3 linked regions of the Oryzias latipes genome follow. The protein of the gene in region 3 interacts with the protein of the main gene of each other region in a pairwise test. Links are inferred from orthologs where the notes say so. Each region holds a gene or a part of one and is shown on either strand. Other genes may lie near its edges.

What was found.
Region 1: the proteins of cnot1 (region 3) and cnot4 interact in a two-hybrid assay, tested with the Homo sapiens proteins (3 studies listed by BioGRID and IntAct, with this or other methods). The link is inferred for Oryzias latipes from reciprocal best matches to the Homo sapiens genes CNOT1 and CNOT4.
Region 2: the proteins of cnot1 (region 3) and cnot11 interact in binary tests that used the Homo sapiens proteins (3 or more experiments, as listed by UniProt). The link is inferred for Oryzias latipes from reciprocal best matches to the Homo sapiens genes CNOT1 and CNOT11.

Annotation. Positions count from the first base shown.
Region 1 is NC_019864.2:13,395,982-13,400,275, reverse strand, and holds the start of cnot4 (CCR4-NOT transcription complex subunit 4), read right to left. Parts: upstream 2,904-4,294; 5' UTR 2,656-2,903; intron 2,646-2,655; exon of another isoform or gene 2,523-2,645; intron 434-2,522; exon of another isoform or gene 412-433; intron 52-411; 5' UTR 3-51; coding exon 1-2. Other genes in the region: pseudouridine-metabolizing bifunctional protein C1861.05, read right to left, coding at 3,626-3,836, 4,084-4,166, 4,252-4,294. UniProt on the Homo sapiens protein: Has E3 ubiquitin ligase activity, promoting ubiquitination and degradation of target proteins. Involved in activation of the JAK/STAT pathway. Catalyzes ubiquitination of methylated RBM15.
Region 2 is NC_019879.2:14,490,757-14,494,927, forward strand, and holds cnot11 (CCR4-NOT transcription complex subunit 11), read left to right. Parts: upstream 1-1,355; coding exon 1,356-1,674; intron 1,675-1,753; coding exon 1,754-1,918; intron 1,919-1,989; coding exon 1,990-2,142; intron 2,143-2,464; coding exon 2,465-2,667; intron 2,668-3,051; coding exon 3,052-3,254; intron 3,255-3,369; coding exon 3,370-3,466; intron 3,467-3,551; coding exon 3,552-3,749; 3' UTR 3,750-4,056; downstream 4,057-4,171. UniProt on the Homo sapiens protein: Component of the CCR4-NOT complex which is one of the major cellular mRNA deadenylases and is linked to various cellular processes including bulk mRNA degradation, miRNA-mediated repression, translational repression during translational initiation and general transcription regulation.
Region 3 is NC_019864.2:25,882,211-25,885,833, forward strand, and holds part of cnot1 (CCR4-NOT transcription complex subunit 1), read right to left. Parts: intron 3,032-3,623; coding exon 2,735-3,031; intron 2,636-2,734; coding exon 2,495-2,635; intron 2,406-2,494; coding exon 2,301-2,405; intron 2,130-2,300; coding exon 2,010-2,129; intron 1,817-2,009; coding exon 1,622-1,816; intron 1,481-1,621; coding exon 1,338-1,480; intron 46-1,337; coding exon 1-45.

The sequences.
Region 1 (4,294 bases), about 12 Mb from region 3:
ATCCTACGGTGTAGCACAAGTGGGCACTGAGGCTGGTCACAGAGCACAGGGCTGCAAAAATAAATAAAAATGATTTTAGGCAAATACGGTCCTTATAAGCAGTAATAAATCAAAGGTGAGCAAACTATTTGCTGTAAACATGACTGGTGTATAATTTGATGTAAACAGAAGAAAACTTCAAGCAGTTCATAAGTGAAACAAATAGAATAATAAAAAATATTTTTCGAATGGACAAAATGAACGTATATATTTCACTGAAGTTTTTGGTGCTACAGATAAACTGCATAGGGCTGCTTCAGAGCTGTTCCTAGTTTATCGTCAGTTCCAAAGCTAGAGAACCTGCTGACACATGAGCTACATATACATGTAGTACTTCAAATTTGATAATATGTCAGCATCATAGAAACTGACCTTTTTCAGATCTTCAAATAGTTATTATATATGGAAACAAAAAAGCTGATTTGCTGAGGTGACTCCTTAAGGGAAAAGAATGGAAACAAAGTCAAAATTAAACATTTACAAAAAAGGAAATAGAAGCACAACGTTGATTTATTCAGTTAAAAAAGGAGCTGAACTAAATCAACAGGACATGGGTATATCAGTTATTTTTAAACATTATTCAACCTTTAAATACATTTAGAAAAATGTCAAAAAAGTCATGAATAGTTTAAAACGAAAGCTCCAAAACTAGAAAATATAGAAAAGAAAAAAAAAACTAGCTTTTGTAAGCAAAACGGACAATTATGTTTTTAAAATAATCACATAACCCTATAATTGTGAATGATGCCTACAATATTTTCAATATAAAATAACATTTCATATAAAACACAGGCAAATTAAAAATATAGTTAGTTCAAGGTTAGGGGGGAGTGACTTTTTTTCAGAAAGTTTGTTATCAAACCTAGATGACAAACCCAACACGTAAAAAAATAGTAAATCAGGTAGTTCTCCAAATACGTGCGGTCAGCCCTAAACTTTTGTCTTGGCCATACAGAACCAGAGGAAGGACTAAGGTCAGGATTACAGTTGTGGTTAGGGTTAAACCACCAAACAGATCCTGAGTGTGGCTCTCCGCTCCTCCAGGGGATGGATCAAATTTGGGAACACATTTAACACACCTTGGTTTGTGACAGATAATGGGAGTTTAAACTTTAAGTTTAATAACACGTGCGGCCAACAACAAAATGCAACCTTGGACACCTATAAAATATGGGCGGGCAATGTAGCAAGGCGCATCTTGGCTGCACGTATTAGCCAACATGAATTTCCATCACTTTTTGTACAAAAACATTTTTTACATTTGAAATGAAAATAAATAAAAGTATTATATAAAAAAATAAAGCATAAAATTACACGTTTGCTTTTTTTCTACGAAGAAGATATCTGAAAGGAGATACAAGCGGTCATTAAGATGAATACAACTACCAAAAATCAAGAAGTTATGTAATGATATTGAAAGGCAGAGAGAGAAAAAAACAGTGCTGTACCATTATAAGTCGTGAAAAATGTTTGCAGTTTCTTTGACACAACTAGCATAGAGAACTGATGGTCTAACAAAACAAAAGGATCCCCCTTGAGCTCTGGGCAATGCCAAAACACAACTTGGATTAAATAGATGAAAACACGACAACCTATAAAGGATGCTGAGGGATGTTGGACAGACCAGCAATCACTATGAGTGGCTGTACTATTTAATAGTCAGAAAACTAGGTTTCTAGAAAAAGCTGAAACAGAACTACCGACAGCTAAGTGTCAAAGCGGGTGTTGTACATCTCTAGTGGCTTGACAGAGTTTTACACGTCACGTTTGACGCTTAGGAGAAAATAGGTGCGTTTCTCTATGAATATAACCCTGTTGAATAACTCGGATAGTTAACTCGGTCTCTACGTGACAGCATCGCTTAAGACAGATGGGCTTAATTACAACCTCAGATTGATAAACATAAACAAAATTAAGTTACATTAACGCAACACCAGCATTTTAGGTGATTGGTTGATAGCCTCCTGCTACTGACGTTTATTATATAGTATCATTGATTGTTTCGCAGACATCACCGTGTTAAAGAAAAATACAGAGATAACCCTGCGTGTGACTTTAGCTGCGTGGAGACAGACTGGCTCTGTCTTCTGGATCGTACATTATCGTGACAGATGTTTTTTTGACTAACGTTGAGCTAAGCTAACGTTAGCAACAAATTGGTACAGAACGCCGGTTCGACTGCTGGCGGGTATCCAGTTATGTTGTAAACGTGACTAGAGAAACAAAACACACGAAACACAAATCAAGCAATGACACGAAACAGAAAGAAAGAAAGAAAAATAAATGGCAATGACGTTTGCTGTAGACAGAAAAAAAATGACAGCTTGGGTAATGCTATGCGTTTAGCTTGAATGCTAGTAGTTAACGATAGAAGTACAAGGTTTTGGAGCCTATCTAACGTTGCGGCCTACACAAGCTAATATCTGCAGACAAATTGCTTGTACAGTGAACAGCTGACAGTGCTCCAAGTGCACCAATATTACCTGGACAGCAATTCTGAAATCTTGACAAAACTCTCCTGTCGGCGAGAGCTCGTAACATGCACACCCGCCCTTTATTTACTGAGATAGGAAGGAACTCGAGCTAGCGGTCTTGGCTAATGTTAGCGTTACTTACCCTGTCCGTATTTAGCTTAGGATTCCACTCCAAAGGAGTCACACCAAATTGGGCGGGGACTAAAAGCCAATCTAACAGAAAAGTCACAATTTATCTAAATGGACACTTAATATAACAGTAGTTGTGCTGTTCTGCTGTAATTAAAAGGTTGTAAAGATGTTTTGCCCCTTTCTTTTCTTGGTATTGTTGAGACAAATTACGCTCAAACCACCATCTTAGCTAGCATTATAGTAGGGAGGAGGGAGCGGGGCAAACATTCGGTGCCATTGAGCCTGCGCAATAGAACAGATGCTTTGTGGGAGATGGAGTTTACATGCTTCTTTTGCTTTAACATGATCCAACCCCGATTTTGCGAAATAAAAAAAAATGAAAAAGTAAAAACATTTGGAAGATGTAGATGATTTTTTTAATTGATTCATCAACAAAACAATACCAAAATATAAAAGACAGAGAATAGTCACCAATTGCTTTACAATATGATAATAATTACCATAATCCCAGCTGTTCAAATAATTATAAAACAAAACATCAAACAAAAGCCCTGGTTCTAAAATCTCAACATCAAGGTTTAGTTTTAATTATTTGTGCTGTTTTAAATGGCTGCATGATTTCCAGACACTTATAGCACTTACTGTATGTCTGCAACATTTTCATCTGACTTTTTTAAGAGTACCGGTATATAGGTTTTATATTAGCAGGTGTCGGCTAAAGTACATTTTTGAACTTGAAATCTATCTGCTTAAAGTCCTTTACACCCATAACCCACAACTTTAACATATTTGATTTATTACCTTATTTACCTTATTTATCAATGTGATAAAATGACAATAAAGATTCCTGATTCCTGATTTATTACACCATTGTGGACAAAGCACTTTTATGCATTAGTTTACTTAGTTACAATCAAATTTAACTATTAAAAGTTAAAAGGCTAAAACTTTAAAAACAAATAAATAAATGGCTTAAACAATCAGAGAAGTACACCCTTGTCTATCCAGAAAAAACTTGGTGCTGGCCAATTCATTTGTTTTAGTTTTGTAGGATCTACGGAATCCACACTGAGCATTGGAGATATGGGGTGCGGCGATGCCAGGGACATCTTTGCAGCCAGAAGACCCATTCGCACACAGTCGTCTGTGTCTTTTCCCTGGATAATTCCTGCTATCAAGGCACCTGCAAAACTGCAAAAACAACAAAGACATGATCAAGTTCTTTAACATGTTGCGATGACAGAAAGAAACATGAAACATTTATAAACTTTCCCAGTGAATTTAATTTACTGAATATGAAAAACAAATGGATATTTACATTTCTTTTTAAAGATGACTGATTTGGTATTTAAATTAATGAGTACTAGGCAAAATATCACATAGTAGCAAAGGGAATGAGGAAAAGGAACTGAAAATAGAAAAAGTAAATATTTTGCACCTATCTCCGGCTCCTGACACATTCACTGTCTCCTCTGGGGACACATTTAGAGCTGGGTAGTGCACTGCACAAAGCTGCCTTTTCTGCAAAAAACAAAAAGGCAGCAGAAATATTTCCACCATGCTGATTCAGGAGTTATCTCTATAGCTGAGATGAATAACTGCTCACTTTCTTCTGTTTTCTCAGCTGCAGGTTGACTGAGTCTGCACTG
Region 2 (4,171 bases), on a different chromosome or scaffold from region 3:
TTCATTTAAAAGATCCTTGGAGAGAAGAATCCAAACAAGATCAAGTTTTACATGGAGCAACAAAAGTATCTCCCGGCAGTCACATATTAGCCATATACTGGCTTGTTTTTGATCGTCTAGATACAGATGATATTAATATTAACATTTTTTTTTTAAAGATGGCAGTCAAATTCCCCGAGCCCTAAATCTAGTAAAAGATTTTTCTAATGGCCCTGCACTTCATCTTAACATCAAAAATGTGAAGAACTACCTATCAAATTTGACAAAACACGATCCATATGTAAAATTCCCATCACATACATGTAACACACCTAGGGATTACTATCACCAAAAATTATGGAAACTGTGTGTTGGCTCTCCAGCAGCAGCAGTTGTCTCTCTTGCCGCTCGGGAACTCTCTCCCGACGCCAAAGCCGTTAAAGACATCCCTGTTACACACAACCGTGTTTGCTTCTTAACTCTTAAATAATGGACACAGGAGACATTTCATTCTGAACCTGAAGTGCAGCTCCCCACTCACTTCGTCTTGACTATGATGAGAGGCTGCGCCTTCCTTTTTATTTTCAACTGCACGTAAAAAAAATTGGCGCATGCTTACGTAATAACATAATCAGACAGAGATCGTCTATGGTGACAGACATTGTACTCCAACACTGTGTAACATACCTAGGGATTACCATCACCTAAAACGAACATAAGAGAAGTTCTTCAAATTTCAGTCCCTAGTAAAACGTTTTAACTTATGGGTTTTAATTTAGGTCTCTTACCTGAGCCTAAAAGGCAGAGTACTGCTATCTCTACCTTCTCTTAACTCTCTCTCTCTCCCTCTCCCTCTCTATCTATCTATTTAAATAAAACAAATGTGAACGATTATTTGGTAGGAATAATTCATATACCATTTCCACCTGCTGGACTGGAGAGAAACTGAAGAAAACTACATCACCCAAGATGCAGTTCACCGGAAAATACGACTAAAAAATACTTCAAGCTAATGGCTCGCAGCACTATCCCATTCAGGGTCTTATTTCTTTCTCAGTCCTGGAAATATTATCTTTTGTAACTCTTTGGTTCGATTGATAAGTTATACGTTCATTTAATCTATTTGGATAATTATTTTTAAAAAGATGATTGATGTTTTGACGAGTTTCCCGGTTTTGTAGCTTATTTTTAAGCTAGGCTAACTTGATGCTAACCGCGTTATAGGATCTCAATCGAGATGACTTCTGGGCCACCGTCCTCCACTCTGCGTCTTCAAAGATGAATAAGCGGGTAAGAGCGCCGCTATAGTTATACAGAAAGACTTATCAGGGACCCCGGTCAATCTCTGCATCCGATCGAACTGTGGCGGGGAAACGATGACTCTGGCTCCAAAGGAACTGTCCAACCTGCTGAGCATAATCTCGGATGAGGCCTGCAACAACAGCTTCGAGACCCTCTCCACTCATTTCCATCATTACTTTGGGAAGGCGGACCACTTCAAGGTGGGTTCGGTTCTGGTCATGCTGCTGCAGCAGCCGGACCTGCTGCCCAGCTCTCCGCAGCGGCTCACAGCCCTCTATCTGCTCTGGGAGATGTACCGAACCGAGCCGTTGGCCGCGAACCCGTTCGCCGCCGTGTTCGCGCACCTGCTAAACCCAGCACCTTCCGGGGATGAGCAGGAGAAAGCCCTGTCCGGTAGGGCCGCTTCCTTTCACCTTTAGCCCGACGTCTCATCAGAACCGCAGCCGCTCAGTCTCTGTTTCGTTGGGTCCAGGCTTCCTTCCTCCCATCACGCAGCCGGAGAAGTTCTTCCTGTCCCAGCTGATGCTGGCTCCGCCCAGAGACCTCTTCAAAAAGACCCCCAGACAGGTGTCCTGCATGGACGTGAGCAACATGCCCCCATCTATAGACATCAGCGGGCTGCAGCTTCCTTTAGCAGGTCAGTGAAGGTTGTAAGGAAACATCTCATCACAGGTGAAGACGCCGTCAATCCCAGCCCTCTTTTTGCAGAGCGCCAGTCAGAGCTGCCCACCCAGAGCAAAGCCAGCTTCCCCAGCATCCTCAACGACCCCGATCCAGACTCCTCCAACTCAGGCTTCGACAGCTCTGTGGCCAATCAGATCATTGAGTCTCTGGTCACAGGGCTGCGTCCTCCTCTGGAGAGTAAGTGCTTTTTTTCACACAAGCTGTGATCACATCTGTGGAAGAAAGAAGGAATCTCCTCAGAAAAGATGGTAGCCGTCTCCTCAGCAAAAACTCACGGTTACAGGTTGATCGGCGCCGACCTGATCTGTTGAGTGCGATTGATCTTTAACTGATACTTTAAAAAAAAAAGTGTTTGAGTGACTGTCTAGAAGGTTTTTGCTGAAGTTATGTCATTTTTCAGTAGTTTTATATTAAAGTATTTAGACTTTGTTCAAAGGCCGTCTGTCTGAAGGTGTTGCTATGAGGCATGGTAAGTACCAGTTTCTCAAAACCCTCCCAGGTCATTTTCGACCCGAGTTCATCCGGCCGACGCCTCCGCTCCACACATGCGAAGATGAGCTGGCGTGGCTGAACCCCACCGAGCCGGACCACTGCATCCAGTGGGATCGGTCAATGTGTGTGAAGAACAGCACCGGCGTGGAGATCAAACGCATCATGGCCAAGGCCTTCAAGAGTCCGCTGTCGGCTCAGCAGCAGTCCCAGGTAGGTCTGATGCTGATCAACAACATGTTTGGTTTACACAAAGGCAAAGTCAGGGTTAAAATAAAAACTTTATTTAAAATAGGAACTCCTGTTCTTTGCAAAGAAACAAAAACTTAACTTCAGATCTGCTCTTTTTTCATTTTTAAATCAAGATTTATCAAAACAAAAACACAATTTGTGGGAAAAGTATTTGTTTCTTTTTTAACCTTTGTCTTCCTGGATTAGTTTTCTGGTGGTCTTAAAAAAAATCAACCTTTATTTTTCCCTTCACTCAAAAACTTTATCGTCCGTTCCCTAAAAGACAAATTATTTCTTGTGGAGGCGTTGACTCCTACTGCTGTGCACCGCTGTCACTCCTCTGTATTGACCTCGCCGTGTGTGCAGCTGCTGGCTGAGTTGGAGAAAGACCCAAAGCTGGTGTATCACATCGGCCTGACGCCTGTGAAGCTGCCTGAGCTGGTGGAGAACAACCCACTGGTGGCCATCGAGATGCTGCTAAAACTGATGCAGAGCAGCCAGATCACAGAGTATTTCTCAGTGCTCGTCAACATGGACATGTCGCTGCACTCCATGGAGGTGGTAAACAGGTGGGGGCGGGGCTTTGGCTGTATTCAGACCTGTTAACGAATCTCCAGTTGGGTTCCAGTTTGGTGCTGTTTCTGTAGTTTGGAAGTGATGGAGTTGTTTGCTCTCCTCCGTCAGGTTAACCACAGCTGTGGATCTGCCTCCAGAATTCATCCACCTCTACATCTCCAACTGCATCTCCACGTGTGAGCAGATCAAAGACAAATACATGCAGGTCAACACGCGTTCTTGGAACTGTGAACTGCTGAAGAGAGCTCAAGAGTTTTCCTCTGGAATAAAAACCCGCTTGATTCTTGCAGAACCGCCTGGTCCGGCTGGTGTGCGTCTTCCTGCAGTCGCTGATCCGAAACAAGATCATCAACGTCCAGGACCTGTTCATCGAGGTGCAGGCCTTCTGCATAGAGTTCAGCCGCATCCGTGAAGCGGCCGGCCTCTTCCGCCTTCTGAAGACCCTGGACACTGGGGAGAACCCGGCCGAGGCCAAGCCCATCAAATGAGCAGGAGTCCTGACATCAGAGGGAGCAGGGAGCCGTACAGCTCAGTCATGAGAGGACGTGCTGTAAATATGCAGCTCTGCGGAGGATCTTTGTCACTGACTCATCAATTTTTTCTTTATTAAACCCTCGAGTTTGTATTATTTTCGATGTCATTTCCTGAGTGATCAAATGTTGCATTAAGTCAAAGCTGCAGAAATTCCATAAGCTGCTATCACTTCGGCAGATTTACTGGAGCTCAGTGAAACATTTGAACTCAAAAGTGTTTTACTCCTTATTTTGTCTCCATAAAATTGTTGAGTGTTTGGTTCTTGTGTGCAGAGTTGTATGTTTGCAAAGCGTGACACAAGTTCTGACCGTTTTCTTCTGCTCCCAGTTTTCTAGCTTTTAAAAATGTTGAGGGTAAAGTTTTGCTGCAAATGCTT
Region 3 (3,623 bases):
GCCTCCACGTTGTATTTGTATTCATCCCGACATTCAATCAGACACCTGAAACACGCATCAGGTTACAACTTTACATTTTTCTCTGGATGCTGCTTTGTCCAACATTACCATTAAAAAGACTAGAATGAATGCAGGAAAAGCTGTGGGCCTATTTTTCCTTTACATTTAGGAACACTCAGATCTTTTGATTAAATCCAACTCTAGTTTTCTTTTTTATCTTTCTAGTTTTGTTCTTGTAGGGCAGTGTGACGGTCCGGGGAAAGGTCCCTTTACATGCTTCCATCTTTTTTTTTTCTTTCCACATGAACATTTTTGTTTAAACTCTTAAAGTTCCAACCTTTGCAGGAAAAAAGCCTCAGTATTATAGAATGAAAACTATCTGCTCGCTATTAAAGATTTATGTACAGAAAGTCATTCCTGCCATCAGATGCTACAATTCATCTGGCAGCCATGACTGTCCATGTACACGGGGGTTTTGAGAGTTCTGCTTGTACATCTTTCTTCCCTCTATATTTTGAATTTATTTTATGGCGCTGCTACAACTGAATTTCCCTACGGGGATTAATAAAGTTAATCTTAATGTAAATTGTACAGCCAATTGAGGTACAGAACACAGGACAGTGTTAAAAAATAAAGATAACAAAGCAGGCCAAATTGCACTAAAGAAAAAAAACGGTCCAACAGCAATATCTCAATAATTGAACTAGGAAATAATGAGGGACCATTGTTATTCTGATCATAGAGGTTTGATGAATTCACATCTGAGCAGCTGTTAATTGATGCTGCTACATTTTCAGTGCTTGTATAAAAACAACTGAAAAACAAAGTCATTAAGTCTGAGATTCTGTCTGATAAAAGTGATTTTAATTTGGCGACTGGCGAGAAAGGGGTTAATTCACAGGAAGCTGCAGCTCACAAATAAATTAAGATGAAGAGATAAAGCTTTGTTCACTTGGGTTGGATCTGGGTGGCCCGTCCTCTGATCATGCCTTTGGCTCTTTGCTTCTTTTCGTGTTACGGCTGAGGATAAATATTCTTATGCCTAAAGATGCTGCAACGACAGTAGTCCGATAGTTCTTTGTGTGTCTGGTTCCATGTTTGCTTCTATCTCTTGTTGCAGAGGCTTTTCCTTTCCTTTCCTGTGTGTTCATGCTCTGCTTTTGGAACTAAAGTTCTCTTTAATCAAGTTACTGCATGTGGAGTCCTGCTCCTATTTTCCTTTCTGAGCCCCCCACTTCCTGGTCTTTTTTTCCCTGAATTCCTCAAATAAAAACTATAATCGCTCCTCAGTTAAGGTAACCACATGACTGCACCACCAAGCCAGTTCAATCCCTCACCTTGTGATCTGTTTATTGCACCACTGTGGTCCATAAGCTCGTCCGTCCTGCAGGGCTTTCAGCACCAGCAGGTGGCACTCTCTGTAGCGAAGCAGCAAATCTGCATCAGCACCACTTGTAGCATCCAGGAGTCCTTCCACAGCCTGGAGGGGCAGAGCAAACAAATCGATATGAATGCGTGACTTTCAGAAGAAACATTTCTAAAGTCAGTGGAGCTCGGGTGTTTTTTGCCAGAGAGACTTGGATTGTGAAGCTGTTTTGACACAGAGCTGCAAGAGTCGCACCTTCTGCAGCAGCCCAAGAGCAGCAATGCCATCCCTGGAGTTCCTGGCCAAGGCCACGGACTCCAGCAGGCTGCGCAGAGCCTGAGTCAGAGGGTTAATGGTGAGAGTTGGAGGGATGGCGTGAAGATGCTGCTCCATGTCTGCAATTAGCTTGTCATAGATCTGAGCCACGTCATCAGTGGCCCATGCCTGTTGCTGAAACACAAGAGAGGGATGGAGTCAAAAACATGTTTCTGGTTCGTCTGTCAAAAGAAAATACAGAGCTGAATATCAAAAATAAATGTGTTTCTTTTTTCAGAAAGAAAAGGGAAAAACATTCAATATTTCAGCTTCTGAATGACGGTTAGGACTTTTTTTTTTCCTTGACGGACACAGGAAATGACCTCACCTTCATGGGTTGAGCCAGGAAGCCAGTGGGCTGTGAAAGATCGTTGCTCGGCAGGAAACCCGGGATGTTTCTGGCAAACTCCTCATAAACAGCCAGCTGTTTGGGGTCGACTCCTCCCACCTGCAACACACGAGCCCGTCGTGTCTCATAAAAACTGCTGATCAGACACAATCTCTGAAATTTTCCAGCTTTGAGAAATAAAAACGTTAAGGGGAAGAAGAAAAAAAGACGACTACTTTTAAACTACGGCTTATTTTAATGATTCATAATTAGACGTCATCATGATTTCACCTTCAGCCTGATCTGTTCAGGCATCCGCTCAGCCTGGTAGGTCAGGACAACGGGATCACAGTAGCGCCGTCCCTCCTGGCGAGCATGTTTCCTCAGCTCAAACTCCTACAGACATCAGAGTAGATGTTAAAATAGGGCTCAATTGTTTTGATAAAAATGTGAACAAAGAAATGAGAATATTTTAAATCCCTCACCGTAGCCAGCCTTTTGTCCATCTCTGGGCCAGCCTTCTCCACAGCAGTTTTCTGAATGAAGCAGCATGCCAGTTCACAGTTGTCCTGAGCGACCCTGGCTGCAGCTTCCTCCATCATTTCCCTCTGCTGGGGGGTTGGAGCCTAACAGAACCCATAAATTCAAACTCAGTGAGTTAAAAAAGAAAAGAGCAGAGAAAACAGTTTTGCGTTTCAAAAAGATTGTGCAGGAACTCGGCGTACCCGAAGCGCCGCAGCAAAGCTGTTCTTCAGATTGGTGGCGATGCTCACGAGCAGCGGCTCACGGCAGGTGATCATGGCCATGCCTGCCGTGAGGTTCCTCATCATGTGGTGGGCGGCAACACGCATGCGAGACTCTTCTGAATCCAGGGCGAAGTCCTTCCTGATGATCTGCTCGCAGGTCGTCATGGCGATTTTGATGGAGCGATCCACCACAGGGTGCACCAGCTCCTGGACCGCCCGCTCCACTGACTGCCTCACACACTGCTTCAGCTGGGGGTGCGCCTGCAGCAGAGGGATCTGACAGCAGGCAGGCACACATGAGAAACAGCAGAACTAAAGACATTGGAGATTTGGATGCTTTTTGATTTGCTTGGCCCATCTAAACCGCACAGAGACTACACATCTAATAGGATGATGCACAAACAACAGGTGGGGAGGAGCTACAGCCGACAGTTGGTACCAGCCCACAGAAACGAAACAAAAAAAAAAAACTCAACATTTTCCCGTTTTTTTTCTAATCTGATTCTGAAGGAAGTTTTATTTGGAAAGTTTTTTTTAGTAGAAAAGAGTGAGGAAAGGGAAGAAGGTCCTTTCACTTCAAACTAGGACTGGGCAATAAAACGATAATTGCATATATTGCAATACAACTTTTTCTTAATAGAAGAATGAGTCTAATGCAATTTTACTTTTATTTTGAAGTGTCTGAAAGTAACACTTGCCAGTTGCAAGCTTTTTCTCCACTTTGGTGAGTAAACGTTAGAGGGTTAGTCAACAAATGGCGAATAAACGTTTGCGTAAACTTCATTTTAATTTGCTATCCTTTAGGTGAATTTCTTATGTCTTCTACTCCTCTACCATCTGCACACGTGATGAACAGACGCTCGAGAGA